2 linked regions of the Oreochromis niloticus genome follow. The protein of the gene in region 2 purifies or fractionates together with the protein of the main gene of each other region. This does not show direct contact. Links are inferred from orthologs where the notes say so. Each region holds a gene or a part of one and is shown on either strand. Other genes may lie near its edges. The genes, in order: rho guanine nucleotide exchange factor 26 and lin7c.

Evidence for each region.
Region 1: the proteins of lin7c (region 2) and rho guanine nucleotide exchange factor 26 purify together in Homo sapiens (affinity purification with mass spectrometry; 3 studies listed by BioGRID and IntAct, counting the BioPlex papers as one, with this or other methods). This does not show direct contact. The link is inferred for Oreochromis niloticus from reciprocal best matches to the Homo sapiens genes LIN7C and ARHGEF26.

The regions. Positions count from the first base shown.
Region 1 is NC_031979.2:24,504,651-24,520,378, reverse strand, and holds the start of rho guanine nucleotide exchange factor 26, read right to left. Parts: upstream 6,629-15,728; 5' UTR 6,400-6,628; intron 5,967-6,399; 5' UTR 5,894-5,966; coding exon 4,448-5,893; intron 3,624-4,447; coding exon 3,572-3,623; intron 3,479-3,571; coding exon 3,336-3,478; intron 1,429-3,335; coding exon 1,372-1,428; intron 1,164-1,371; coding exon 1,003-1,163; intron 1-1,002. UniProt on the Homo sapiens protein: Activates RhoG GTPase by promoting the exchange of GDP by GTP. Required for the formation of membrane ruffles during macropinocytosis. Required for the formation of cup-like structures during trans-endothelial migration of leukocytes.
Region 2 is NC_031965.2:17,984,547-18,000,020, reverse strand, and holds the start of lin7c (protein lin-7 homolog C), read left to right. Parts: upstream 1-9,053; 5' UTR 9,054-9,230; coding exon 9,231-9,267; intron 9,268-10,192; coding exon 10,193-10,311; intron 10,312-11,232; coding exon 11,233-11,304; intron 11,305-11,453; coding exon 11,454-11,663; intron 11,664-12,877; coding exon 12,878-13,045; 3' UTR 13,046-15,474. Other genes in the region: neurotrophic factor BDNF precursor form, read left to right, coding at 5,133-5,963. UniProt on the Homo sapiens protein: Plays a role in establishing and maintaining the asymmetric distribution of channels and receptors at the plasma membrane of polarized cells.

The sequences.
Region 1 (15,728 bases), on a different chromosome or scaffold from region 2:
TCGTCAATCAGCATGTGACTTCACTTACACTCGCATCCAGAAAAGAGCTCAGCGCAGCGTAAACACAAAACCTTTGACAATGAAAACAACCCTTACTCTAGGGAGGAGAGTAGCTGAAAGCCTGTATTAGCATACACTGGATAGTTAAGTATGCCAAATTATCCAGCTAATTAGGCAAAACCAAAGTGATGAAAGACACCTGAAGCCTAAAAAGTAAACAACCAACCAATTAAACCAGCGATGCCAAACTCATTTTAAATCGTGGGCCACATGCAGCCTACTTTGATCTTAAGGGAGCCGGACCAGTGAAACTCCCCTTTCTATAAATGTAAAAACATTTAACAACACACTGAAAATCTCTCAGATACTTAACGTAGGAAAAGCAAGTGCAATTGCATGGATAAGTCTCAGTTTTTTCAACATGATAAAGAAATGCTGCTATACTAAATGAAAGAAATCTGTCAGCAAGAATAAATAAATCTGTAAAATTACAGAGAAAGTTCTGATAGCTCACCTGTAATCACAAAACTGAAGATTTGTGTGAATTCATAAAAAAAAAAAAAAATGTCCTTTTGTTTGTTATTTATTTCTTTTACTGTGGACCAATAGTAGAAAAATATACATATTCTATAGTAGGTAGAAGTGAAAAAACAGGAACTTTTATGTTATTTAATTGTTTATCTATTAATAAATTACTTTAGTGTGGTATAAATTACTATGGGGGGGGGGGGGGGGGGGGTCTCTTTATCAGTATGACAAGCTTTAAAACTTATGGAAATACAATTTAAAGTCTAAAATCTATGTCCTCCTTCACTTTTCCAAAGCCATCCAGTGGGCCAGACTGAAGTCTTTCCCAGGCCGATTCTGGCCCCTGCGTCTTATGTTTGACACTCCTGCTCTAAACCAACAAATTCTTTTAACCAACAGCATGAGTACCAAATATGAAGACGAATAAAGGTGCTCATCTGATAACAAATCTACTTACACAACAGCTACACTCACTTTTTGCTAGCCTCACAGACATCAGTGATATTGGAGAACAGGTGATGGTGCTCAGTCTTGGTCATGGTCTCCCTGAGCTCTGGAGAATCCTTGAACATGCGGATCAGGATCTCTAGACTGTGGAGATAGGAGTGCTCCGACGAGATCACCTCAAAAATGGCCTAAGGAGGAGCAAGAGACACATCAACCGAGAGGAAACATCAAAGTAAGATATTTGGGATTCAGTTATCCCACTAGGTCCTGGTAATGATGACTCTGGGTTTCAATCATATGAAGTAGGCGTTTAAAGTAATTACACATCTAACTACTTAAAGTATGAATCAGAAAAAATAACTTAAAATAAGCTAGAAAGTATAGAACGACTCCTACCTCTTGTCTTTTGCGTTCTTCTTGACTTATCTGCTCACACAGGCCACTTTTCTTAACCTAAACGAACAGTAAGTCAGAAAAATTTTTTGCATCGTTTTTGAAATTCACACTCGATGAACTACATGCAATCACAGCACAGGTGTGGGCTGTTGCCTTTTTTCATATCTAAGGAGCACAAAGAAAGGCACTCTTTGCAAGAAACACTACAGGAGTATAGAAATTTGTTGGATCCAAACACTAAGATTAAACAGGGACCACTTCTGCTCATTTTGAAAGTGGAATTGGGCTGAAAGGAAACTGCATTGGCATGTGGCTGGAGAGCTTTGATCGAAAGATGTTTGAATGAGACTGAAACAAAGCAACCTTTTGAAATGGACTGGGTGTGGAGTGCTATTGAATTAATCAGCCTGTGGCTTTGTCAAACTAAATACAAGGCTGAGTAATAAACACCTTCTTGCGTTACACCAGATTTAATCAACATGACCAGAGGCTCAACCACATTATACTTTACCGATACATGTAAGCAACAAGAAATCCCGAAGATAGTTTCCCTTACTTGCACTAGCTCCTCAACCCATTTTTGTGCAAAGCAATAAGGAAGAGATACTCCTGCAGGAGTATCTGCCCTGCAGCTCTCTCCAAACACTGAGAACAAATAAACCTGAAGCAGGTCAAACACACACTATTTGATTTCTCTCACACATACGGCCATCAGTGTTACTAGATACTGCTCCTATTTTCCTGGCAGCCCGTTTTTCCATTGCCCTGTACGAGCAAAGAGGTTTCAACCAATTGACCATCATCCTTCTCTGGTTGAAACTGAGCATAATTAATCAAGTGTAATTATTAAATGGCAACTATTAATTCCTTTTTTTACTTTATTGACTTGATTAGGTTGCCTTCAGGTAATTTAGAAACCACGGAACAAGATCGCTCCAAAACAGCCGCACCTTCTGAAAGCGTGAATGGTAATTCTTGGAACCAAGACAATTCTGGGATGTGACATTTCATCAAAAAGATGAGAGACTGATAATAGAAGGGTGGAGCTGAGAGTTAGGATTAAGCAAGAGTCACAAGATGACATCTTGTACATTTGGTTCTCGGCTCCACTGGAAAAAAAAAATTCCTGTCACACCAGGACAATCACCAATCACACGAGTATTCCTGAATCTGTAGGGTAAAGAAAATTCTTCAGAACTAGATCACAGGCTGAAGGCTCTAACACATTCACAAAGACGAACAGCTGTAAAGCAGCTGTGATAGAAAGAAAGCTTACTTTGGCAGAATCCCGGTCAGTCTGTGCTCAGTTCACTTTAGTGTCTGGCTGACATAAATATAAACAAAACAAAAAGTCTCTCTACAATGTTTTCAGCCTTCAATCCAATCTCCTACTTATTAGAGACCATGTGCAGACAGTACAATCCTCAATACCTCAATCTCGGCTACGGCCTGCTTTTGCTCACACACTTTCCATCCTCTACCAGTAAACAAACAGATGGGGATGCATTAGTAGAAAACTAAATTAGCCAATTCCCCTTCCCTTATATTCCTCTGCCCCTCAACTCCAATCCTTAACTACATTATGTAATGCAAAGCCACCACAACTCTCCCCGGAGGCAACATTTTAGGCATATTTGCAGTCTGACGAGCGTACAGCGTTTGCCAACACATTGGCATTAATCCCAGCAGTGCTTCCGAGACTTCCTGTGGGCCTGTCTGACTCCCAGCCTGCACAAACCCTTGACAAACTGCTCGTGTACTCCCTGATAAACAGAGTGAGGGGCAAAGGAAAGCAGAACGCAGTGGGAGGATGGGTACAGATGGTGGCCAAACTGGATATGACAGCATTCTTTGGAGCACTAGCATTCCAAAACTACACAACCACACTCCAAGATGCAGAAAGAGTTTAAAATATAAGAGGAAGAACAAAGACTACTACTGTGTCTGTGTGTGTTATGTCTTACCACACTAAGCTGGCTCCAGGAGGTACGTATGGGCCTGTACTGCACTACAATGTTGTTATCAGGTTTGGGTTCCCTGGAATCGGGATCCTCATCTGAGTCATTATGTAATGCATTCTCCTTGTAGTTCTGGTAAAGCTCTTCCTCTGCAAAATCACAGATGTAAAAGTGTAGGGGTTTCTTTATTCTGATCCTTTATAGCAAAAATATAACACAGAAACACAAACAGAATTTCTCACCCTCGCTGTCAAAAGTCAGCTGACTGGTCAAAACCTTCTTCTTATCTGGACTCTGAAACAGAAAAAAAACAGCATAATGGGTTTAATGAACTCTGAAAAACCAAGTAGAGACACATGCAAACCATTAAAGAAAGAAACTTGTTTCACCTGTTCACTACCTGTTCGTACCCTTTTTCAAGTTGCCTCCTTCAGTGACCCCTGGCTAATTACAGAGCCTCTGTGTATTTAAGTGTATGTGTGGGGACAGTGTCATATTGCGTCATGTCTTCCAGCAACCACATTGTTTCTTTATAAGGCCTTGTTCTAACTTCTGCAGCTGTTGCCACCAAACTTGTTCCACTGTACTTTTACTGGTTGTGTTGTAATTTTCCAATTTGAGCTTCACCCCCCCCCCCAGATAACAAAAGTCCACCATGAAGCAATCTCTGTGCACAATTAAATATAAAACCATCAGAGGGATTGTTGCCGAGTTGAGAAATCTTAATGTGCTACAGAACAGGGGGGAAAAGTAATGCCAAAAGTTGACAGAGTATTCACTGATTGCAGATTTCGACAACTATCATTTGCTAAAAGCTTGCTTTTCTAAAATTGATCATTTATGGCACTTCTCTACAGCTTGTTCTCTAAAGTCACCTGAATATACTAAAATACACAATAATTCATTCTATTAATTATATTATATATAAAGCTTGTTGTTTTTTCAACTGTCTTCTGAAAAAACACAATTAAAATTAATATTTAGATATTAAGACTTTGATTTGAATATTTAAATTTCTCCTACTCCCCTATATGTGAATGACAAATGTGTTAAATTTGTGTGATTTCTTAACACGTACAATTTGACCCCACTCTGTTCTTTCAAACTGATTTACTCACCTTGTTTTTCCCATTGCTTTTAGTCTTTTCTGTTCCAAGGCTAGACTTTGAATTCTTGGTGCTGACATCTTTGGGTGTCATGGGGCTGTCAGGCTTGTTGGTTCCAACACTTGGCAGACTTATAGAGCCAGGACTTGTTGGGCTAACTAGTGAATCTGATTTATCCATGCCTAGCCCTCTGATGACAGGGTGGGACAGCCGATGGCCCTTGGGATCTGCTGCTGATACCTCTGAGTCTACTCCACTCACAACTGCTCTCCTGTAGGATGTAGTCCTCAAGCCTCTTCTAAGAGCCCCTGGGCTCTCACTTTCACCATCTTCCCCCTCATTGTGGCCTCCTGTAGAAAAGTAGCTTCCAGTTTCCACCATGCTCAGGGCTTTCAAGGAACGCTTGGAATGATCCAACCCCAGCAGCCCTGCCGATCCTTGAGCTTGTGTCCCAGGGGAAGGTGCCTTGCATTGCCGAATATCGGATGCTAAGCCCTTGGGAATAAGCTGCTGGGTACCCATCTTGAGAGCAGCGGGGCTATGGGTGCTTAGGACAATGCCGTTAGAGGGACAGATGGGTGGGGAGAGTGACGGTGAGGGTGATGTGGAAGACATGGAAGAAGATGAAGAGGTATGCCTGGTGTCCTGTGGGGATATAGGTGAGGATGCCTGGGACTGCCTGAGTAGTGCCTGCCCTCTGTCTTCTGGCGATGGAGATCGAGGGGTTGGGGGGTCTGAGGAGGTTAAGGAGTTGAGGGAGGGGATGCTGGAGGTGGAGCTGTAGGAGGGGGTGAGCATGCGATGGGTTGGAGGAGATGAGCTGCATGTGGATGAAAGGGAGGACAGTTCAGGTTGGTTGTAGTTGTTGTTAGGAGTGTCTGGTGAAAAGACAGGTGAGGAACCATTAAGAGGAGTATTTTCTGTTGAAGGTGAATTCTTCTGAAACGCAATCTGGCCCTTCTGAGAACTCTGACTTAACAGACTGGACATGCATGTCTGTGAATCCCAGAGATGCTTTTCAGGCCATATCATCTCCCCATTACTCGCTTTCACCCCGTCAGAGTTCCTATTATATACCCTATTGTCCAGTGAAGCGGATTTGTTATCCTCAGACCTAAATTTGGACAACAAGCGTCCATTGGAGAGGTGGCTGATGCTGATGCTTCGAACCACTCTGTTTTTCTTTGAGGGTTTATGTAAAACATGCTTTAACACCGCTGTGTTATTGTCAACACACTGGGGTGTGACCACAAGTCTCTCAGCAGGCTGGCTCAAGGTGAAGGAACATTTGTTGTCCTCCTCAGTGAAGTTTGTCTTCATGACCCCATTTATGTGGCAACTGTGGGGCCGTGGTTTAGGACTGCTTAAGTCCTGGGGCCTTTTACTGTTATCAGTGCGGCGTTTCCACAAAGGCATGATATTATTATTGGACAAATCTACATCATTGCCGTAATCCATGGTTGAAATGCGAGTGTCTCTTCTTCCCTATCTGTGTCCAAACCTGTGGCTCGGTGTCGGGAGAAAAAAAACCCTGAAAACAAACAAGAGAGAGATACCAATCAATATCAAAGAACTCAGTGTGGTGTCCGAATTCCCAGACTTTAATCATTAACAGGGATTTAGTGCTGATACTGGCAGCTAAACTTAAAGAACACACATAAGCAAGCCAGTGAGGAGAGAAACAGCCCTTTTGTAAATGTTCACCGAGGTGGAATGCCCCAATTACAAGACAATGTTGCAATTAAACTACTATAAAAGAGCAAAAATGTTAAGCAGCAACAGCGCCTTTACAGACCACATTTGTTTTTATCTTCTCAGAATCTGAATTCACAATTTTCTGATTTTTTAACTCTGTTTTTCTGTCTGCAAAAATGCGTATAGCTATAAAGAGGCGCGTAACTGGGAGCTTTTCAGCGAGATTATAAAAGATTTTTTTCCCACAGGTTATAGTGTCTCCAACTTACCTTTAATCAGTCGATCCAATGCAGAATCCGTTCATCCTCCCTGCCTTCTCGAGTGGCAGCCCTCTTTAGCGAAACGGATAAAATTAACGTGCTTTCAGCGCTGAATCAACAAATAAAGGTTTGTGAAACCAGAGTTACGAAAGTTACTGACCGATAAGAAACTCGCGTGCGGGGGTACTGAACGCGTCTGAAGCGCTTCTGTGCGCGCTGGGGAGTTTCTATGACTGAGAGGAGGGGAAGGGAGGGGAGCTAACCAGAACAGAGTAAGAAAAAAATATGGCACTCCCAAGTTCACAGAAATTCACCTGCTAGAGTAACGATTCATACTACGGATCAGCAGAGACTTCCACGAAAGACAAACAGTGCGGTTTGATCGTAAACGTGAAAACATTCTGAAAGTAAAGTAACAGGAAACACTTTATGTGAATCGAATAATAAAGCGTTGTTAGATTTTAAAGGTTTTTATTCGGCAAGATCAATTTGAAAAAGTGGAGCAAACACGTTTGACAGCAGTATTTTCCTCTCTATCGCTCTCTCTTTTTAAAGGAATCTACTTTGTTGTTTGTTTGTTGTTGTTTGTTGTTTGTTGTTATGTTTGGAACGCCTGCTTTTTGGAAATGAAGAGTCTAACTTCATCAACAAATGAAGAGTTTTGACGCTTTTTAAGCTTAAGAATACATTCGGGGCCAGTCAAAAGATGCTGTTGCGTGACGTGAAAGGGAACAAAAAGAAATCTAAATACCTAAAGCTTTATTAACTCTACAGAGTGAAGTGCGGAATGTGGCCACAGAAAGCATATAAACAACATTTACCTGTTGCTGCTGTGCGCCATCGTGTGTTCTGTGATGCAACTGCATCAGGCCTTCCCAGCCGTGATGATCTGTGATAAACAGTCAATGAAAATTATTTGTACAGCACTGATGAGTGCAAAGGTAGTTCTCTAAGCTGTTGGAGACAGCTGGAGGAAAATATCGGGAAAATATAACCCCCCCCCCCTTTTATAAAACCACCGGTGTTTACCCCCAAATATTTCCTGGACTGTGTCGAGTAATTTCTTGCTCCATAATAAACCCATGACTACGTTTCAAGCTTCTTCTAGCAGTGGAATTCATAGAATGTCCCCGCCGTTTTGTTGTTTTGCAATGGCATTTGCTAAGGCTTCTAAAAATACCGAGTAAATAAAGCCCCCTGAAGGATTTATAGTTTTTCATTCCCACTCAAATAAAATGTGTTTTGCAATCCGTGGTTGTGGTTAATTCATGCATCGCCGCTTTCTGCGTTGCGCAATACTGTCAGTGGAATAAGTTTTCTCTTTTTTTCTATTATTATACAAACGCATTAAACAAAATGCTCCCCTTTAACTTCAAAAACATGACTCACAGTTTAACCGCTCACGAAATCTTCTAAGCACATGCCAAATTTTATGTGCTTAGTGATTAGGGCGTAATGTGTGGCGCATTCAGCTCGCCAGTACTTAATGTATTTGACCAACAAGGGGCGCGATTGTCGCGCTTACTGCTCATCACTGCTCTTAAAACTGAAGTGTACTCTGAGGAGACTTCAGAAGGTCGACCATCATTCCACACACTGGGAAACCTATTAAGTGTAAACCGAGTTCAAGTTATTTATAGCCTGCACTGATCACATGCTACACTCTGTATGCTTGCAGTCCGCCAAAACACGTGTCTACACTTTCTCCATAACCTGTGAATCATCCGTAAGAGTGGGCCTGCTGCTGTTTGACTGAGGTGGTGTTGAAATAATAACATGCTCAGGATTAAAAGTGTCCCCTACACAATAATACACAAAAAGAAAAAAATGGTTCCTGCAGAACTTTGCAAAGCTTGCTCCTGCAGCCAGTTGTCAGTATTGTTGTGTACTGCTGTGTTTTAAACACATATAGTGCTGTGCAAAATTCTTGAGCTAGCCCTCATTTCTTTATTTTTTACCAGATTGTCTTCTAATTTTTTTTTAACATGATCTTAAATAGTTTCATGATACCTTTACAGGCTTTCTCAGAATCTTTCGAAACTTTTCTTTAGACACCAGTGTCTTTTTCAGTCATTTTCAGAGAAATCTATTTATTATTATTATTATCATTTATTATTTTACTTCTTTTTTTTTGTCAAGCCACTTAACTGCTCTATGAATCTTTCAGGTTTAACCCCCCCCCCCCCCCCCCCCAGCGCAGGGGCGTTCTGTCTACACATAATAGACAACTTAGCAAAGAACCAATTTCTCTTTAGGCACTTTCTTACTAGCAACCTTTCACAAAAACATATCACTTGTTGCCACATCTTTAGTTGAATCTCTGAAGAATGCCAAAGATAGCAGAGTTTGACCGTATTGAAATAGTACTTTTGCACCACCAAGTTGGTTCCCAAACTGTTATTTTCTAAAAACTTGCCATATCATGGCATGATGTATACTGTGCCCTTAAAAAATTGAGGAAGCTGGACAAGTGGAGAACAAAAGAAGTGGCAAGCATAACAAAAAAAAAAAAAAAAAAAACTTATGACAGACCAACCAAACTGATAAACAACATCTGAAAGTCATGTCCTCAATAAATAGGAAAAAATTCAGCAAAGGCCTGACATAGGACCTGAGAGATGCATCTGGAGCTTCAGTTGATTCGCCTACTCTTTTCACCAAACCCTCATCAGAAATGATCTGAGTGGAAAGGTGGCTTTTTGGAGTCCTTAAGGAAGGAAAAGAGGGAGAAAAGGCTGAGGTATGCCAAATACACACAAACTGATCTTATGCAGTCATGAATCCAAATATAAAATGACTGATAAATACTGTATCACTGTCAACAAGTATAGAGGAGGTCGGAGGAGATGTGAGTGTCTGCAGTGATCTGAGAAACACAGTGGAGGTGCTGTCATGGTTTAGGGCTGCAGCCAGTCGTGTTGACGATCTTGTCAAAACTGACGCAATCATGAATACAGAACAGTGCCGACATATTTTGACACAACATCTGGAAACATCTGATTGACAACAGCTTCATTTTTCAGTGTGACAATGATCCCAAACATGCTGTCAATGTAGCATCAGCATACTTGGATAGAAAACACTCAGTGGGACACCATCAGTCATGGATTGGCCTCCCTGGAGCTTTACATTATTGAAGCAGTGTGGGACCATCTTGACAGAGGACAGAACAAAAAGCAGCCCACATCTAAAGAAGAGCTTTGAATGTCCTTGAAAAAGCCTGGAGAAATATTCCCGAAGACTACCTAAAGATATTAGAAGAAAGCTGCCCAAGAGAGTTAAGGCTGTGCTGAATAATAGAGATGGTCATACCAAATATTGACTTTTATGCTGGTTAGAACTGTGCAAACTCTTATACACTGTATTCCCACGAATGTTTGCACATGTCAACAAACCGTTGCATCGCTTTCTTATTTTCCTAGCAGAAGACTTTTGTGCAATACTGCAGAGGAGACTAAATCTTTAACCTTGAGTAAGTCACAGGTCAGATAGTTGAATCACTGTCATCTCTGCTGTATTTACAAATTTCAAAAAGTGTGTATAATAGTCGTGGTATTCTTTCTTGCTGTTAGTCACTTGTTTATGCAAAATTGCGAAATTACCTACATTAATCCAGAACCATGTTAATGTTACCACAAGAAACATCACCAGCACAGTGTTTATTAAGTAAATTCAAAGTAAAATCTGCATCATCGTGAGTGTATTTTATGTTTCCATGACTGGATTTGTCATAGAGGCCCCATGTGGGTCTTCCTCATCATGTTATATTGAGGAAGTGCAGCAGCCTATCCTGTTGTATTGTTTAAAGAGCTATATATTTCCTCACACTGTCTGGTTAAAAAAAAAAAATAGCCACTTCACCATCAGAGACACTCTCCTCCAACTGGAAGATCCAAATACAACCCCCCTGTGGCATGGGATGTAAAAAAAAAAATCCCAAATAGCCTTTTTATAAACGGAGAACTAGTAAAAATCAGTAGAGTATAAGGAGTTGGTGATAAATTCTTAAGGGAGGTGTAAAAAACAGAAACATTTTAGGGGTAAGCTATGTCTGGCTGATCTTAGATGCCAAGTTTTTCTTTGTAAATGTTGTGATTGATAAGGCAAGAGCATTATCTCAGTCTTTCTGTGTGGGCTTGTGCTTGTCTGAGCAGAGCATGCTTCAAAACGATTTGGAGCAGCAGAGGTACAACAAGCAGAACTAAGGTTAAAGTGGTGCGAGTGAAAATGACAACTCTGACAGAGAGCATTAAAGTCATGCTACTGAAAGGCAACTGTTTCTAGAAAAGCAGCTGGAATTACTGTGGAAAGGAAGAAAAGGAGCGTTTCTTTCGGTCTTTGCACCCCACCAATAAATACTTAAGACCTGAAGACGTTTCTGATTAATTTAAATCAGCGAAGAATTTAAATGTCATCTTGAAACAGACAGGTTGTGTTGATTTAAGCGTCAAGGTGAGATGTGTTCACACGCAGGGTTTTGTAGGAGTGTTTTCAAAATCTAAATCATGGCTCAAATATATATATGTTTGAGGAATGTCGAGGTCTTAAAGTACAAGTGCCACTAACCTCCAGGGTTCCTGTCCCTGTTCCCTTAATATGGCTCACAAATGTCTTTTTGGCCTTGCTCTGTATGTATTTATGAAGTCTTCTCTAGAAATGAGTAATACCTGCAGCAGCTTGCTAAACTAGCTCCATTGTTGCTACACTGTACTGTTTATCATTGCCTCAATGTTGGTTTCTTCTCTAAATCAGGAAAATGCTAGCACAAAATATTATTTCTAGTATATGTACACTTCTTATTATTTCTGCAAAAAAGCAGCAGATTTTTCATCCAGATCCTCATTTAAGGCAAAGAATATCTATCCATAACTGTAAATTAAAAAAAAAAACAAGATTAAAAGAAAAACTCGCATATAAATGCTTTAATAGGCTTATAGACTAAATTTAGTGTAAATTACAGAAATAAAAGAGTATCTTGTTATACCAAGTGCCAAGGATTATTGCCTTAGCCTTCATTCTTTTGTATTTAAGCCGCTTAACCTGCAGGGTTTAACTATTCGCCAGTGCAATGTGCATTTGCATAAAACTGTGTCAGACTCTGCTAGGGAGAGATCTCTGCAGCACTTTGCTGTGTCAAGTGTTAAGTTTTGAAATCACATTTTAAAGCTACATGGGGAAATCAGCTCTCTCATTTTCAGCAAAAGCAACCTTAGGGCTTTTTCTTCAATACAAGACCCAATAGTGTCTCAATTTAAGCGGGGAGGAGGTTTCTCATGTCAAGACTTTTAATAATTTCAGGACAAACAAACCCAAAATGCATTTTTTGCTATTCTCTTTAGGTTTCTGCTTTGAAGAACTGAATTACAACTGCAGGCGATGCTTTGAAACAGGTTTCTCTGCACAATCACGCACGTCTCCGTCAGTGGTTTTTGATAAGAGCTTCTTTTGTATTAACAACAAGTTCCAGTTGTTCAAAACAAGATATGTGCATTATGCAGATAGGGACATGTTTTCAAAGACACACTGTTGTTTAATTTCAGAGATCTTTTTCCAAGTCTGTGAGCACCACAGATGCAATCTCATTCATCTGTAGCGTGACAGGAATGAAGTAGAACTCACAAAGCGTGGTATCTCTCAAACAACCAACTGTTAAACTATTTGAATGATGATTAATTTACCGTGGGTATGAAGCACATAATAAGGATTAAAAACAGAGTTTCCTGGGTGAGGAATGTAAGGGTCAGATAATTTCCCATTGTGATCACTGTGTGGTTAATGATAATCAAAACATGAGGAAGTAGGACAGACGAGTAATTAAAGTAAACTGTGAAGAGTAACACCCTATATTTAATTTCCCATTATGTGTAAAACACGTCCATGTCTTTGTGAGGAAGCTTTGAGTCCTTACAAACTCCAGATAGGCCAGTAGGCCAGTAGATTCAAACCCACCGCTAACAGCATTAAGGTTAACACAAGATTCTTAATTGAACATAGGTGTGAATAGGAGTGTGAATGGTCGTCTGGGTGTCTGTGTCAGCCCTGTGATAGACAGGCGATCTGTCCAGGATGTACCCTGGCTTTTGCTCAGTCACATCAGGGATATGCTCCAACTTTACCTTGACCCTAAATTGAATAACCAGTTAAGGAAATGGATTTTGATACATTTTGAAAGTTTTCTAGGAAAAAAATTCACACTGTTGTGTCATTTGATAGATTTTATGTTTTCCCTCAGTAGCAGCACTTCCTCCCCCTTTTTTCTGTTTATCCTATTGTACATGCTTGAATTCCTCCAAGCCAGATATGAACATTAAAGATGTAAGTCACAGAGATGAACTGTGCACAGCGTTCCTGCGCTTTTCAGTCTTCTGGCATTTTGAAAAAGCCCTCCACAAGCTGACCTTTCCTGAGCATACCTCTCTTTTCCTCACTCCTGTTTTTCCTCTGACTCACAGCCTATTGTAGTTTTCCTACTGAGCAGTGCTGTTTGCTGGCTGTCCTTGCTTCCCCTCCCCTCATCCTTCACGGCCACCCACACGTCTCCTCAGCCATCCTCCTCGCAGAACAATACAGAGAAGAGGTAACGACTGTAATTGCCACAGCGATAAATTACAAAGGCTGACAAAGTGTGTAACCAGCAGGAGCTGGAGAAAAAAAAAGACAGATATTTAGATATATTGATAGATGCTTTGATGGCATAAGCCATATGTTACAAAACTAGTACAGCAGTTCACTATTTGTCCCATGACTGAACCCACTTCAGCTCATAACTCTGTCTCCTTTTAATACACATCCTCATCCACAGTCTACGATGCCAAATGCTTACTATGTACATTGGTACATATGGAACCAACCCAGGGGGTATTTGCCACATATACACATATTTGAACCCAAGCTAATCACCATGGTTACAGGCCTTTTGGCTTGTGCTGATTGGCCTAGATTACTGCGATGACCCGTGATTGACTCCCCCCTGTGGGTTTCCATTGGCTGTTTGCCCCAGGATGATGACGTCATCTTGTTTGGCAAGTTGCATTGAGACATGCACTACTGGGCATGGAGGGAGAACGCAAAATTAGCTCAAAGCTGGAGGTGACAGCTGCAAAATGTTCAGACTAGTGTCCTAAGAGGAGACGTGTCAGACCCAAAGGTGTGTGATTCTCACAGAGCTGGTGTATGATAGCTTTTCACTTGGATCAGCCTTCCTGGTAGATCAGCGGGATGGCTCAGGAGTATAGAACTGCCCAGACATCTGAAATAATGTCAGCTATAATCAGTTGAAGGCATTTAAATTGACTGAGAGAAACAAGAGCTAGTGAGATAGTAGAGAGAGAAAATTACATTTAGATGGACTGAATTTCCAGTTTATTCAAAAGGTGTCCTTATCCTGTTTTGGTTGAGCTATTTCTCTAGTCTTAAAGTCTGTTAGAATAGATTCCTTCATACTGACAATAAACTGGCATATAAATATTCATCAATTATAAAACAGTTTTGAACATCTTGCATTGTTCAGGCCATCTGGTCTTATATGATTGCTGTATTTTTGAGACAAACATGCATTTGTTATGCTCAGCTGTCTGTTCTGCAGCTTCTCTGGTATTTTAGTAGATCTAAGTGCACATTAACTGTTCTCATTTCTGTCATTTCTGTGTTTGTAATCAATGAGAGATCCGGTATTTGTTTTAAAGCTCTGAAACACCAAAGACATTTTGTTTGCCTTTCAGTCACAAGTTCTATAAGTCCCATTGGTGCTTATTATGCCACCACAGATTGTGAAGTGAGGAAGATTTTAAGAGTCACATATCAAAGGGACTCTTTGGACTCCAACCTGCTCGGATCCCCAACCTTTCCAATTACTTCTCTAGTATGTCTAGTGTTATCTGATGCTATCTAAAGCTACACCCTTATATGATTCAGCTGATCTAAAACCCATTGAAAGAAAAATCGAGAAATGCTGTTGTGTTTTTTTCTAGTTGTGTTGATTTCATTCTTTAAAGAGATGATAAGCTTACAGTTAAGCTTGATTCTGTAAATAGAAAAATAAACCCAGGGTTTTGAACATAACTGCGTTCTAGAGATACTTCAGAAATGGATCATATGACATAAAACTTTATTTTAAAATAATCATATAGGCTAAAATGTAGGCTCCAAATCTGACCTGCTTCCCTTTGCTGCGCGTCTTCCTCTGCTCTCTCTCCCCCTCTTTTCTGTCTCTTTACTGCTAAACTGTCAAATTTCAACAGCAAAAAAAACCCCACAAATAAAAATAATAATAATCATACAAAATCTATACTCAGCTGTGTCAGAATGAAAACAAATGTGATTTAAGTGAATTTTAAGGTTATCGGTGCCAGATGGGCTGATCTGAATATTTCAGAAACTGTGGATCTACTGGGATTTTCCAACACAACCATCTCTGAGGCTACAATTTTTATAATGGGCTCACCAAAATTAGTCAACAGAAGACTGGAAAAGAAATCTTGAGTCTTGATTTTGATTATATTGAGATGGTAGGGTCACATTTTGATATAAACAGCATGAAAACATGGATCCATCCTGCAACAGTGCATGCTGCTGCTGGTGGTGGTGGTGGTGTGATGGTGTTGGGGATATTTTTCTGGGCCCCTTTGGGCACCTTCGTATTAATTAAGCAACATTTGAACATCAAAGCCTTCTTGAGTATTATTGCTGATTGTCCATTACCTCATGACCATAGTGTAGCCAGTGTACTAGCAAGGTGTACTTAACAAAGTGGCCAGCAAATATATAATCTGTGTGTTTTAAGCATCCTTTATTCACTGTTATGCGTAAACATTTTTAAATGGTATTTACACCATTTATTGCCCATTCAGTCCATTCAGATTCTCCATTCACTGAAAACAATAACACATAATAGTGTTTTGTTTTTTGTATTTATTTATCGATTGATTGATTAGTGCATTCAGAGCAGTGTTTGGAACATAATTGGGTTGTGAATAGACTTCTTTTACAGAAGATGGTGCTTTTTTTCTGCTTACTCGATTTTAAACAAAGAGTCAAAGTACTAAATGTTTTTAAGATCAGAAATGAAGTTCTCCTGTCATACATGTAGACTCTTTGCTCTCGATGATATGGCCTAGAGATGCTGCTTTTCAACATCACTTCCATGCTCCACACTATCCAATTCACCTCATTTAAAATGTAATCATCACTACTTTTGTCCAGTGATCCAATTTCCCTGCTCTACAAGTCAGTCTGTATCTACTACCTATTCTTTCTATTCATCGCGAGCTGTCACTCTGCCTTTCAGGCAACTGACATCTCTCCACTTCATCTGGGTTGTCCCGGTCATCTCGTCCAGA
Region 2 (15,474 bases):
TTAATAATTTAATCTATTTGCTCCAAAGCTGAAGAGATATCCTGAAGCTTGTCGGGAGAGAGGAGTGTTTTTTGGGGGGAAGGGGGGTCAAAAATACCGCTTAAGTAAATTACTCAGGGAGTTGTCCAAAACATCCCAGATGACACTACCGTCCTGTTGAATGGTCTGTTTTACGACTGGGCACTAAAAGGTATGTGTCTGCTTCTTTCTGATAACTTGTTTTAAGCACTTTCGCTGTGTTTGATGCTGCTAGTGGAAAAGACAGCTGGTGTGTGTGTTTGTGTTTGTGTGTGTGTGTGTAGCGTTTGGGGGGGGGGGGGGTCTAAAAGTAGCTCGATCAAGCCCGGTTATCCTGCGAACAGACAGCGCAGCAGCCCGAGAGGGCATATGTGTAACCTTATCCTCGCGTTCATTAATAAAAAACGGAGTTATTATGTTGATTGGGTTTCCAGTGGGGAGCACGAGCTCAGCAGATGTAATCTCGAGAAGAAGAAGAAGAAGAAGAAGAAGAAGGGGGGAAAAAGTCTGTGGTTACATTATTGGAGCAGCCAGTGGTACATATAGGTAGGCATTTCTCCATAGCTAGCAAAGTGGAAGCCGTCCAGTGTGCATCTGTGTGGACGTTTTTTTAAGGCAACTTTACGCGCATAAATTGCTCAATAAACTCTCTCCTCCGGCTGTTTGTCTGCATTTGTTCGTCCAAGCTTGGACCCTCCTCCTTCTCCACCTCCTCCTCTGTGAGAAAAGAGACAGAAACACTCCAGACAGTTTTTTTGTATTGTTGTTTTGTTGGAGGGAAAAAACTTTGATGAACTCATTAAGACTTTATAGGAAACCCGAGACCTAAATGCCTAGCTCGGTCGGCCAACACACACTGTTGGGGTTTTTTGGCGGTGTGTGCTCGTGTTAAAAAAAAGAAAAAACCTCACAATAATTATGGATTCAAACAAAGTGGGAGGAAACTGGCCCATATGTGGTGTGAAAATATGTGGTTCAAGAAGTAATCTCAGATTAATAGATGGTTTAATGACGAATTTTTTTGATGAACCATTCTTTCCGATGATAAAAGCAAATTGGGCTTGTAACTAAACAACATCCAACTTAACTTTATAGATGTCTTATATGACTATGCCCTGGAAAAGACAATGGTTGTCCTATCTATCTATCTATCTATCTATCTATCTATCTATCTATCTATCTATCTATCTATCTATCTATCGTATTTCATGGGGAGGAAGGAAAAACAGAGGGGAGAAAGGTGGAGAAAGGGTGGAAGAAAACGAGCTCAGACTATTTGACGGTCTCATATGCCATCTAGTGTACAAAGCTGGGCACAGCAGCGCTGTCAGTGTGCAGCCGCAGGTCTGTTGGTCATTCATGGGTTAAAATGAGGATTTCTTCGCTAAGCTTACAAGAACCTAAGCACATCAGTAAGGATTTTACCATGCTGTATGTTGCTGTTGTATCTTCTAAAGTGCCCACTGCTGCACGCAGTGTGGGAGGGAGTTAACAGCTCTTTTGGGTAGCATAAATCACTCAGCAGGTATTTGAATGCTGGGCTTTCTGTGGCAGTGGCTGGGGTTGGCCTGGCGGCCAGGTATAATCCTCAGTGATGCTCATGTATTAGTAAAACGTGCTCTGAAGCTGCATCAGATTGAAAACAGATCTCAGGAAGCAAGCTTCCACATGTGTCAGCCATTAATGCAGACAACACAATTAAGTCTAAATGCCTGTTTTTTTTTTTTTCTTTAAGTGCTGCAATGTAGTGCACAAGGGGTCCTAGGGTAGCCATTTTGATAATATTTGCTGTACTTTTCCTGCTCTCAAACTGAACATTTGGCTTTGTGTGTTATACTTATTGAGCGTGATAAAACATGTTGCCAGGTAAACTGTATTCTTGAGGAATTAAACAAAGATGGATGCCCACGAGGGAGCAGAGACAGAGGCAGAGAACAAATGTTGCCATGGGGTCGCACATTTCCATTCAAATGTGGTAACCGCACTTCAGATCTCCTCTCTTGATGTGTTTTTTTTCCCCATGCGGTGGCTTATAAGATATCACGCCTGCCGTTAGTAAAGATGTGCATAAAGTGTGCAGACATGTGCGTGGAGGCTGGGAACGTTACTGTAGTATGTAATAACACTAGCCACGCTAGTCCTTTCATGCTGTAGGGAAACTTTTCAGCGTCTGTCAGAGGAGGCATTTATCACTTTAATCCCCACCTGGCACAAAGAATAACTGCGAGGGTAAGTTACATATCCCTGCCATACAGCCGTGCTCTCAAAGCAGATGAACAGGTGGTCATCTGGAGCTAAACAGAAGACAGAGTCCGCACACTCACCTGCTGCTATTGTTCGGGGTGTTTCACGCTCCAGGCGTGCTGTCATGAATAAAGGCATGTTTGAGCAGCAGTTATTGTGGGCTTTATTTTCCCCTGTTCATGTTATTAGCTCAGTTCTCAGCATGTCATGTTTAGATGGCTGTGCATTCTTTAAACAGTCAGCTCAGAGGAAACTGCACCTTTCTCAAGCACAAGTTGCCACAAAGCTGATAACTAGAAGCTCCAAAGGAGGGGGGGGGGGGGAGTCTTATTCTTCCATATGTAATCCATCCCTTGCTTTATTATTCATTGCTCATTCTGTTAACGCTCGGGACGCTTTTTTATTAACTGTGAAATCCGCATAAAATCTTCAGACACTGGATGTTGTCACATTTAGCCTCTCACAGATATAAGCCAGAGATCCTCCGCCGGTCCCACAGCAATTAAATGATTCATTGGCTTTATCGCATTTTAACAGGATGTTGATTGAGAGCATAAGCCATATTGATTGTACTGATGGAAACAGGAAATCAGCGAGATAGAAATAAAATCATCTGTTGTTCCCGGTGTGAGGATACACGGGGGAATGGCTCTGCAATTGCACACTGTTGAGTGGCATTACCCCCAGCAACCTCTCCCCCCCTCTCCTCCACCCCACCCCTTCTCTCCATTCTCTCCCCTATGGAGACCTGGAAGAGACGTCATCTGTGGTTGTTATGCTGCGAAATGACGCTGGCACTCTCTCCACCCCCTGCTACTGCAATATTACCCCTGTGGTCTGTTACGGAAGATGCAGCACTCTTCGTCTGCACCATTTCCAGCATGAAGTTTGACGCCTAACAGTAATCAGCCCTCTGCCTTCATTTCCCTCATGTGGAAGTGGAACCATTTGAGCACGATGCTGATAATAATATCAGCCTAAATGCATCCTACACATAAAGCTCGTGACTGGCCTCGATCCCGTAAAAACCTACACGATTCTCAGTGCTGGGAAGCCTCGCAGATATCATTTTAACCACAACCTTCGCAACACCGAAGGGTTAATGAGCCATAAATGGAATTTTGTTAACAATATCCGAGTTGACAATTAGCTCTTTATTCTTGGCTTTGTCCTCGTTGTAGTTGGTGAGAGGAAAAATACCCACCCCACCACCAGCACCACCATCACCACCTCACTGCAAAACACATACAAGCCAGCCCCTCCCCATGCCCTCCCTCTAACACGCACACTCACACACTCCGGAGGAGCACGTCACTGAGCTCAGGGAATGAGTGGCTCATTAAGAAGAAGGATGTGATATTCTGAATAGAGACTGTGAGACTCCCAGCACGTCTATTTTTAGACGAGATATCTCTATGGCAGTCACCGTGGTGTCGGTTAATTGCAGCCACAGCCCCAGATACCAATTAAGAATGAAACAAATGCTTTTAAGGTGGGGTTTCGCTCCTCCCTATACTGTAAAGGTCCTTGTGTCCATTCTGTGAGTGGAGGCTGGAGCAGGGGCTCGCTCTCGCCGTGTTTTCCTGTGTCAGGCTCGGACATGCAGAGTGCAGTCAAAGCCTCGGCCAGGCTATTTTTAAATGAGCCCCTGTGGAAGGCAAGATCTAGATTTTTTTTTTCTTTTTTTAAAAAATTATGGGTGTTTTTAAATCTATGTCCTTTGGATTCATTGATTTGCTGTGAATCTTAGAGCTTCTCAGAGGTAAGGGACGCACACATGCTCAGGTAATTTTACAATATGTATGTACAGTGTTTCAGTTTGGTTTTGCATATGTTTTGAGTTGTTCTCCAGAGCCTCGATAGCAGTGCTTTGCACGGCAGGATATCACATCATTCTGTCATTCAGTTTCCTGTTAATTCATCCCGCAGTGCTCTCGCCTTCCACCTGCCGAAAACAAACAGTGTCCCTCAACAAACCCATAGTTCCCATTCATGACTACAAGGTGTAGTACCTGACCCGTCCTACAGCACAGACCAGTTTTTTTTTTCTTTTTAATAAAGTAATACTGCAGCATCAGTGTTTGCCAGCGCTGACACAAACACACTGACTCTGTTAGGAAGTGCTGTCCACACCGGAGGTTCCCGAAGTGTTAATACTGGTGATTTGTTTGTACGGTAACGTCACGGTCGCGTATTCGTAACGCGGGTTGGGGGGGCGGGCATAAATCCATCCACAAGAATTCAACAACTACAGGATGAAGTTTAAGAATGAAAATCCTCAATTTCCTTACCCAAAAGCAGGGGGGCAGCTGTGAGCTTTCAGTACAGCCAAAAAAAAGGAAAAAAAGAAAGAAAAACAGCCAATTATTCCAACAGAAAGCCATGATTGGCAGGTGTGGCCATTATAAATATACACGGCACCGTGCCTTTTTAACAGACCAGTCAAAAAGCTGTTAGGATGTTTCGACATCTATTTGTGTAATCTTATCTTTTGTAATAAGCAGCCGCTCTGATGCTCAGCACAGCTTTTGTGCATTGCTGCCAACAAATAGAGATCTAAGCCAGACCTCACATAGGAACAGAATGATTACAGTTTGCAAACAATTTGAAAACACCGATGACACAGTGCCAATATCAGTTTAATAAAAACATGTTGTGATTATTCCGAAGCTACTGGCTCCAGTTTTTTGGCTCGCAAACAAAGAGTGGAGGGTGGAAATAGGAGGAGAGGCTTACGTGGTGCATTATGGATCAAAAATAAGCTAACTTTGTTGAAGATGCTCTTTGACTGACCATCTCGTTCTCTCGCCCTCCCCCAACCCTCCTCTCTCTTCTTGTTTTCTTTCTGTGTCTCTCTCCCGTCCCTCCAGTTCCACCAGGTTAGAAGAGTGATGACCATCCTGTTCCTTACTATGGTTATTTCATACTTCAGTTGCATGAGAGCTGCGCCCCTGAGAGATGCCCCGGGCATGCGGGGCCATCGGACGGAAGGCTACTTGGGCGCTGCTGCAACGGCCGAAAGAGGCCACGGGACTCCCCAGAGCGGTGGAGGGCCAGGCCAGCGCGGGGAACTGCCCTCGCTCACAGACACATTTGAGCAAGTGATAGAGGAGTTGCTGGAGGTGGAGGGCGAGGCGGCGCAGCTGGGACAGGGGGCCGATAAGAGCCAGGGAGGTGGTGGCCCATCCTCTGTAGTCACCACGGAGGCCAAGGATGTCGATCTGTACAACTCGCGGGTGATGATCAGCAACCAAGTGCCTTTGGAGCCGCCGTTGCTCTTTCTCCTGGAGGAATACAAAAACTATCTGGATGCCGCTAATATGTCCATGAGGGTGCGGCGACACTCCGATCCCTCACGACGTGGAGAGCTCAGTGTGTGTGACAGTATTAGCCAGTGGGTGACAGCTGTGGATAAAAAGACGGCAATAGACATGTCCGGGCAGCAAGTTACCGTCATGGAAAAGGTCCCTGTCCCCAATGGCCAACTGAAGCAATACTTTTATGAGACCAAATGCAACCCCATGGGGTACACAAAGGAGGGCTGCAGAGGAATAGACAAGCGGCATTATAATTCCCAATGCAGGACAACCCAGTCCTACGTGCGAGCGCTTACCATGGATAGCAAAAAGAAGATTGGCTGGCGGTTTATAAGGATAGACACTTCATGTGTATGCACATTGACCATTAAAAGAGGGAGATAGTGTATAAAATGTATAGATTTTATTGAAGAGTTTAAAAAAGAGAATAAAGAGAAAATATCTATTTGTATATATACATAACAGGGTAAATTATTCCGTCAAATGAAAATTTTATGGACTGCATGTAAAAAAAGATGAAGTTTATACAGTAAAAGTGATACTACAGTCTATTTATTGAACATATTCATGACCTTGTAAACAATTAAAAAAAATCTGATCAGTCATTTGCGCCCAGTTTAAATTACTATGTCACATTCCTCAAGACATTGTGATTTGTTTAGGTTGCCAAGAATTAGAAAAGGAAGGAAAAAAATTAACAGGCAAGAAATGAGGGAGAGAGAGACAAAGAGGGAGACAGAGAGAGAGAGAGAGCGAGGACAGTTCCATCTTCAAAAGCTTGCATGCTGCTTCAATTGTGAATCGATAAATTCTCCACTTACAGAAAAAAAAGGATATGATGCTGACCAAAAAAAATAATAAAAAAAACATTCCGTTTACATATTCAGCAGAAAACAATTTCCTCTCAAGTAATTTATCTGTTTACTGTTCTAAACTTCTCAAGGTAATGTTGGAATTACATACTATGTCAAGGTGCTGTTGTCAAAGCTTTGCTGTTTATTTTTTTATCCCCACCAGAGGACAAGATATATATATAAAAAATTATATAAATATATATATATATATAAAATTTATTCATTGACATGTTTCTGGGTTAATATTATTCATTTTGTATGTTGTGAAGTTGTTTGCAATATTAAACTGAAATATTTGAAGAAATAAAAATGACTATAGGCAACTGAAAAACAAAATCAATGTCGATAAAGTTTCAACGGTGCATTTTTAGGCAGGGTAAACTTTATTATACGGACAGTCGGCAGGCAAGGAGGGAGGAGGCACATATGCACACATGCATGCGCACAAACCGCCACATGTCCGAAGCATGAAAGAGCAGAAATTCAAATCCTGAGCAACAAGAAGTGATGTTTTAAGATAAGAAAATGAGTCCTTGCTTTGGGTCACTCACAGATAACCAGTGTTAGAGTACAGAAAGCAGCTCCTGGTGTCATTCAGCTACTTCAGGAAGGAAAAGAAAACGGAGAAAGAGAGAGGAAGTGCCCCTAAACCGCTTCCTGCTCCCCACCAGCACATTTTTTCAACACAAGTTTATGTGCTTTGGATCTTTGGTGTTCATACACAGGTGTTCAGAGCTTTTGCTCCAGCTGCACGTGTGATGTCGCACAATTACGAGACCCTATTAACACAAGAAAAGGGCCTACGCGTTCAAGTGCAGACTAGTACAAGTGGGTAGACTGCCTGAGCTTGACAGTGATGGATTCAACCACCCATACATTTGTGTACATTAAAAATGTACACCCAGCGTTTTGTTATTAGTGCGCTGTAATCCCAGCTTTAACTCCTCCACAATAGGACAATCACCACTGATTTTTTTAGCTCTAAAGTCACTGTGATCAGAAGGAGAAGCCGATCTCCATAACTGGTTTGGCACCTGGGTTAAAAGACTGCCGAGGCTTTATATCAACTTTCTCCCTCGGGCAGATAATAACTCATTGCAATGCATGCCTGCCAAGTCTGGATTCCATAGCTTAAGGTTTTAGTGGGAATACAATAAAATATGTTCAGCGTCTCATCTTCGTTACATAAAACATTTCCAGAACATACTGCAGAAAGATTAAAAACAACAAAAATGCATAAACAAAATTTCTTCAAAACACCAGCGATCCCTTATGAATGAACACAATCACCTCATTTTACCACGCCTCCATCAGCCTGAAGGTAAGTGCAAAGACAGCCAGATCTGAAGACGGTGAAGGAAAGATGGGCCAGTTTCTTCACTTCCCTGCTTGGACCCTTCACAGAAGCCTGATGATGATGCTGTGAGTTAATATCATTAAAAGCAAAAAAGATACCGAGGCTTCTGCAACACAAACAGTGGGAAGACGAACAATATCATAAATGATCTGGTCTTCAAGGAAAATCCACCTGAAGGTATAAATGGGAATGATTTGGTAAAATTCAAGCACTATCCCGTCCTCAGCACGTAGGACAATGAATCAGCCATTCAACATTTTAGATAAGATGATAAGGATGTGTTTTGTTTATCATGAGCATGAGCCTTAGGCTACTATTTTTTACAAAGTTCAAAAAAATAATCTGCCAATCATACATTTAATAAAAGAGTGCATAAAGGGAGGCAGGGTGAAGCCCGTGGTGTTTTTCAGTGTGACCATAAATCAGGCATATGAGTGAATCCTACAATCTTTTAGGAAAACAATGGGCCTACTGTGTTAAGAAAAGAACAAAAGCTGCTGCTCACCAAGTCTTTAAGCGTGTCTACTTTATGCCACGCCCACATTCGTGATGTCACATTAGGTATTTTTCATCACCTGTCAAAAGATTTGCGTTTCATCACCCACTGGGGTGTGGTCAGGAGTGAATCATGCTCTAAAGTTTCAGGATACAGAGAAGCAGTGCAGCTGCAGTTTTCTGCATTCATGGAGGCTCAAAATGTGATGCAGCTCACCAGTAGGGGGTGGCAGAGAGAGCGCTCATATCAGACGTCAACAAAAAGCCAAATAAACCTTCTTCTGGTTGGCCCTTGTTGTGGCAGTACATATTAATGTAATCGTCCTTTGAGCTATGTCTGTGGAGGCTGAGCGAAGATGTTAAATGGAGTTCTCCACCCCTCGGGTTGTTAAATGGTAATATGGAATCTGGGTTTGGATTCTAGCCAACGAGACCTTCAGTGGGCTATATGCATGGCACAAAAATATCCCGACTCTCATTGTCAGCATCAGCAGTAAACATAATAAAATCAAACCGCTGTGCTTAAAACTAAATCTGGCATTACTAATATCCAACATTTGAAGCTGCTAAGGTGTACGTTTGGACGAATTAAAGAAAGGACATTTGTACACTAAAGCGAGGTGGAATATTGGTAAATCTATGTGGCTTATGTATGTATGATATATCATAGTTTTACACCAGTAGTCGTCTAGTAAAAGGATAAAGTAACAAATACAAACGCAGTGACTTTAAAATGTGATTGAACATTCCGAGTTCACAGTTTTACGAGGTTTCCCTGAACGCATCATGACACTGGCAGCTAGCCTAGCCGGCTAACTTGGCTAATCTGATTTATCGTCTCAGTTAAGCGCACATAACGCCAGCCAGGATTACCAAACTTAGTTTTCAGTATTTTTCCTTTTAGCGAACTATCTCCCTAACGCCAAACATCCTCTCATTTCAATAATGGCATCGCTTGGGGAGCCCGTGCGATTGGAAAGAGGTGAAGTTAATTAGCTAGCTAGCTTTAGCTTAAAAATATTTGTTGTGATATGCGGGCGACATAAACCTAGCCTAGCTAGCATTAGCTCATTAAAGCAGGCGGCTTATTTTTGTCTGTGTACTCTGTTTTATGGTGGGATAACGATAGAGTAGACATCTTGCGGTTAATTCTTGTATGATTATGTATATATAGTCACCCAGCTAAAGAAGCCACAGCTATTACAGCTACATTGTTGTACTTAGCACATTAGCCACCTAGCTAATATTAATGACAACAGACAGTGATTAGCCAATCTGGCTGGTTTGTTCACTGTATCTTACCATAAAAGAAAGAAGATTTTACAGTTACGCTGGTTGTATCATTATATTAATTTTTGCGGCCTGTCTGTAAATAACATAAGTTCTGGGTGTGTGTTGCTGAAATGTGCAGAGGAAGCCCAGATTTGTGTGTTAGGTTAAACTTACGGGTTACACAAGTAAGTACACACGTAAAACTTCACGATTAGAAATATTTAATAAACTTGCAAATGCTTATGAATTCATTGCTATTAAAGTAAGCTGTACATTCGCAAAAACAAAATAAAAAAAACAAAAACGTGATGCCTGCTGCCTCATCCCGTCAGGGGTGGTTAAATTTACTTTATAAAAGGGGTGTTACTCTGAGAGTTGCTTTATTATTGCATTATAGCGATTTGTACTAATTGTAGTATGTTCTGGTGACCGTGGGAGACAAGCTTGTCCGGAGCATATCTATAATAAGAACAAATATAGTGCAAGTAAATGTAAATTGTAACAGAAAAAAAAGGCTGCAGCTTTAAATGGGTGCCGACTGTGCTCTGACGCTGATGTGGGTAACTCTCACTGCCAATGTTAACATCTACATTTGCAGGCCTCAGTAATGGTTATGTACATGTTCTTGTTGACAGATATCAACCGTGCTATTGAATTGCTTGATAAACTCCAGAGGACAGGGGAAGTGCCTCCCCAGAAGCTGCAGGCACTGCAGAGGGTCCTACAGAGTGAATTCTGTAATGCTGTCAGAGAAGTGAGTCTCTTTCATCTTGTATCATTCAAAACACTTAATTAAGAGACATTAGTTTACAGTTTGGAGCTTAACCGTCTGCATCCCAGTAGAATTCCCAATAGAATGCTCCAAAATTAAGAGAGTGGAAGTCTGGTTAAAAGTTAGTTTAAATTTTAAGGTCACTAATAGCGCTTTCTAGCTATATATGACCATTTAAGATTTGTACATTTATGTTTTCAACATCTCTTTACCATTACCTCTTTGTCCTCCTCTTCTTCATCTGGCACATCCACCCCTCCTCTCTGCTCCCTAACCTCCAACTCATTCTCTTTTTCCTCACCTCACGCCTCATCTCCTCAACTGAAATCGAGACTCTAACATAATAAAACGTGCATAAACATACTTATTCGTTCGCGATAATATCACATTTAGTTATCATCAGCAGATTGGGTATGTGGCCCTGCCGCTTTGGGACAGCTGATAGCCAGACGGCTATAAGAACAACAGCTAGTGTTATACCAGATAACGTTAAGCTAGAGAGTCTGAAAAATCACATTTTCCCTTTGATAAACATTTTCACATCATATAAGTCCCCTTTTACAAAGCTTTGCAGCCTCCTCGAAATTGATGTGATCGAACGCTGTAAATAGTGGACTGACAACCATCACTATTTACAGATGTACGTCAGCCATAGTGTGAAATAAAATGTAAAATATTGCAAAATACTTAAATTGCACAGCCATTTCTTTTTTCCCCTGATTTATTGTTAAGTGTTGACTTAACTCAAATTGTTAAAGTATACTGTGTACAAAAGTGTTTTTGACAGTCGTAGAAATATGCTGGCTGCCCACAGCTGTTATGGTTATAGAAAGTTAACCCTTTGGTTTGGTTTGAATTCTTTGTGTTCGCCTGTTGAAATATTGTCCACTAATGTCTCCTCAGGTCTATGAGCATGTGTATGAAACAGTGGACATCAACAGCAGCCCCGAGGTCAGGGCCAATGCCACAGCAAAGGTAGACAGTTGTCAGTTACTGTCTGAACACAAGATTTGGTCTTTTTGTAATCTTAATTTCAGACATTTAATTTCTTAAAATGGGTAATTTTGTGCTTTGACTGCAGTACATACAGACGAGATATCTAAACACCACTTTCCTATTTGTAGGCTACAGTGGCAGCTTTTGCAGCAAGTGAGGGACACTCACATCCACGAGTTGTGGAACTGCCCAAGACAGAAGAAGGGTTGGGTTTCAATATAATGGGCGGAAAGGAGCAAAACTCACCAATTTACATCTCACGGATCATCCCAGGAGGCATCGCTGACCGACATGGAGGCCTGAAAAGAGGGGACCAGCTTCTCTCAGTGAATGGAGTGGTGCGTTTGAATTCACAGCATGGTTTACATTTTAGACTGAGCCTGAGCAAATTCTCTATTTCAGATTTTTTTTTAAACAGGCAGATATTAGAAATAATACATTCTTCAAAAAAACTAATGCACAGCTAGATTTTGTTTCAGGATTTAAAAAAAAAAAGGAACTGCAATAACCGTGCAAAAATCTGGGGACCCATCTACTTGTAAAATCCTTGTTTCTGAACTTGTTACACCATAATTTATTAATGAGAACTTGTAAGGCAGGTCAACAACTCTCCCACTCGTCAAACTCTTCTAGTAGTGCCTTAAAATGAAGCTTATTAAAGCCTAGTAAACAGGGGAGTGCTATAAGAAGATATCAGCTTGTAGCTTGGAGTTGTTGGCAACAGTTTGTCCATCATAGGGAGTGACAGGATTCAATCAGTGGAATTTGCATCAACAAAAAACAAAATCAATAAAATCCCCTGCCTGTGCTCACCTGTGCTTTTTTTTATGTTCAGACTTACATCATCATGTTGGTTGATTATTAGCCATAGAGTCTGACAATGATGGCCATTTACCAGCTAAACCTTCTTCAGTAATCCATATTACCAGTGAGCTGGCACGAAGCAGCTGTCAGAAAAAAAACCTCAGAAACCCTGTGGAGTCTTTGGCGTCTTCTTGGTGCGATGGAAAAACATTTCCTTATGTCAGTGACAGGAAGCTGTCAATTTTGTATGTTTAGAAATAATAATAATAATAATGGTAATAATAATGGTAGTAATAGTATATTGATGTAAATAATGAATGTGTCAGGTTCCTCTTGTAAAGCTCTGGAAATGTTAATGTGTTCAACATGTTTGTTATGGCTTAAAGATGGACACAGTGAGTGCTGATGGAACACTGAATGTAAACGTGCCATGCTATTGTCTGGAAGTGTAAATCTCAAAGATCAGCCAATAGCAATCATCCAGTTGACTTTGTTTATTGCTCAGCTTGTTCCCTCATTAAAATTTCCAAATTGCAGGCTGTTATATGTGAACAGCTGCTAGAGCTTATTTTGGAACTACATTCACTTCAGTACATATAAAACTTTTGTTTACTCAAAAAGTGGCCACATACCTCGTTGCTCTTGTGTTTAATAATTGGACCCAGTAGGTTAATCTGTAGAAATCATGGACTTTTATCTGTTCCTGGTGAAATCTTAAAGTCAATTTCTGTGTTTCTTTTGCCTTTAGAGTGTGGAAGGAGAGCACCACGAGAAAGCTGTGGAACTCCTCAAAGCAGCTCAGGGCACAGTGAAGCTGGTAGTAAGGTACACCCCCAAAGTCCTAGAGGAAATGGAGTCACGCTTTGAGAAAATGAGGTCGGCGAAGCGCCGGCAACAGAACAACTTTCCCAAGTAGGATTTTCCCATGTTGATGCCCAGCTCCCATGTCTCTCCTCCTTTAGCCTTCTGGCCATCTGTTCTGATCCCTTTCTCATTTCCCTGCCCCCGAAAAAAGAACAAAAAAAAGAACACGCTCCTGTTTAGTTTTAGCTCATACATACTGTATATTGCGCTTCTGCCCTTTTCTGTAGCATTTTGATATTCACCATCGTGTATTGTACTAGACACTACAACTCTAGACGAACACTAGGAAGATCACGATTGTCAGTGTGTGTCACACCATGTGCATTATTTTTGAATTGACAATTTGAATGCAACTTCTGAGACAAACTATACAACTGCTTTGACTGAAAAGGTAGTGTTTTTCAGTGATTTATCAGAGCCACTACCAAGTGCCTCAGGGCAAACACATTTATCTTATGTACTGTTTTTTCCTTTCTCTTCTTTCTTTAACCGTTTAAATTTCTGGAAATTAAACTGTTGTGGCAGGAATTAATTCATGCTTTTCACCTGTTTTCTCAGAGACTGTAGCTTTAGAGGTGCTGACGACAGTCTAAATTAGTTAAAAAGTGATAAGTTGTTAGATTGGTATTATGGCTACCCTACAAAAAGTAGCAAAAGTGCTGGATTATGTTTGAGCGTTCTCTCTAGGCTTACCCTGTAAGACTTTAACATCATGCCACGCTATAAAAAGCTCCAGTAAGTGATGTAATGGGGTCTCAGCAACTCGTGAACTAAATAGCTGACACCACAAAGACTCGCACATTTATCAAAAAAAATAAACCCTCGAAACTCTGGAGTCAGTATGACATGAGATGAAAGTCAGTTATTTTGTTTTGACATAAATGAGGAATGTACTGTGTCACATTTTTACTCTGCCGGTGAAAGAACTTGATAAGAAATCAGTTATCCAGTGACCATCAGAATAAGATAAAATTAGGCATTTGTAAAATCCAGCTAGTCAGATGCCTACAGTCTCTGTAAGGCCCTGGTCATGCAAGCCTAGAAACCAAACTGTGACCCCCTGGCAACCACCGATCATTAGGGAAAAATGTGTATTATCCAGCCGATTGGAGAGTGTTTGCTGGAGATTGCTGGCTATCTGTGAAATCGACTGCTACAGCCTCATTCACCAAGGCTAAGAGGCTTGTTAGCAAATCCCTGGAAACCTCTGGTTGCCAGGGAAAATAAGTGTGCTCCCCAACCGGCTGGCAAGTAGTTGCTGCCAGCGACTACATGAAATGATTAACAAAGAGGTTTGGTTGTTAGCATATTGCTGTAGTTTGCATGGATAATACCAACTTACCTCCAAATACTCGCCAACTGTTCACTGAGTGAAATTTCAAAAACTGTGACACAAACCAGAAGCTGATCCATTTGCGCTTTTTAAACCATGTTGACAGCAATAGTAAGAAACAACTTTTACTTTGAAGGGGAAAGTTCTCCAAACTTGCACTCCCTCAAGTTTCACTATCGCTCAGCGAGTAATTGGCGAGTGTCTGAGGTTTTTGGTGCAGCGCCCTCTTCGGAGCTCATTTCCCGCTGCTTGCAAGCACTCACCAACTAGTCGAGGAATACACTTTTCCCCCTAGCAACCAGAGGACAACCAAGGGGTTGCCAACCAGCCTCTAAGCCCGTTTGACCAAAACTTCAGTCACATTAATGCAGCATGTGAGTTTTGATCACTTGTTCAATGAATGAAATGTTAGTACACATACTGTATTTGTGTTTGTAATCTTTCATCAGTTTTTTTTCTTACATTTTGTAACTTAATATCTAGCAAGGGATGAAAAAAAGCAAATGTTTGATGACTTTTTGTATTCTCATATCGCATTCATGTTAAAGGACAAAAGACAATACAGGTGCTTGGGTAAGATCTATCGACAGCTACTTTAAAAAAAATCATTTTTTGATGCTTGTAAAATGTTAATAAAATGTTAGTAAAGCCCATATTTCAATAATTTACAGCAATAATTTCAAACTTGGTCTTGCCTGCATGTCATTACCAGTTTATTTTCCATTCATCTTTGCGCAAATAAGTTTTTTCTTTTTCTTTTTTCTTTTTTAGGTGGGTTGGGCACAAATGTACTCATATATAATATACAAAATGCATATCATAAAAATGAGAATGATAAACACTTTATTACCAAATACTGCCAAACAATCAAGTTTGTTCTGATGTGAATTGTTAAGCAGGCAAATCACAAAAAAGTCTTAATTGTCTACAGTATATTTTAATGTGTAGGCTGCCACAATTACATGTACACTTAATCATGTTCCACATTTTATAGTTATGAAGTGGCTGCATGTTTAGCTACTGTGTTGATAGTCATCATAGGGAAATCTTCATTCATTTATATCTATAGGCCTACATCTCAGTCAAACAAGTCCACAAGTCTTGGTTTTCTCTTAAAAATAAAATGTATTGTTTCATTAAAACATCAA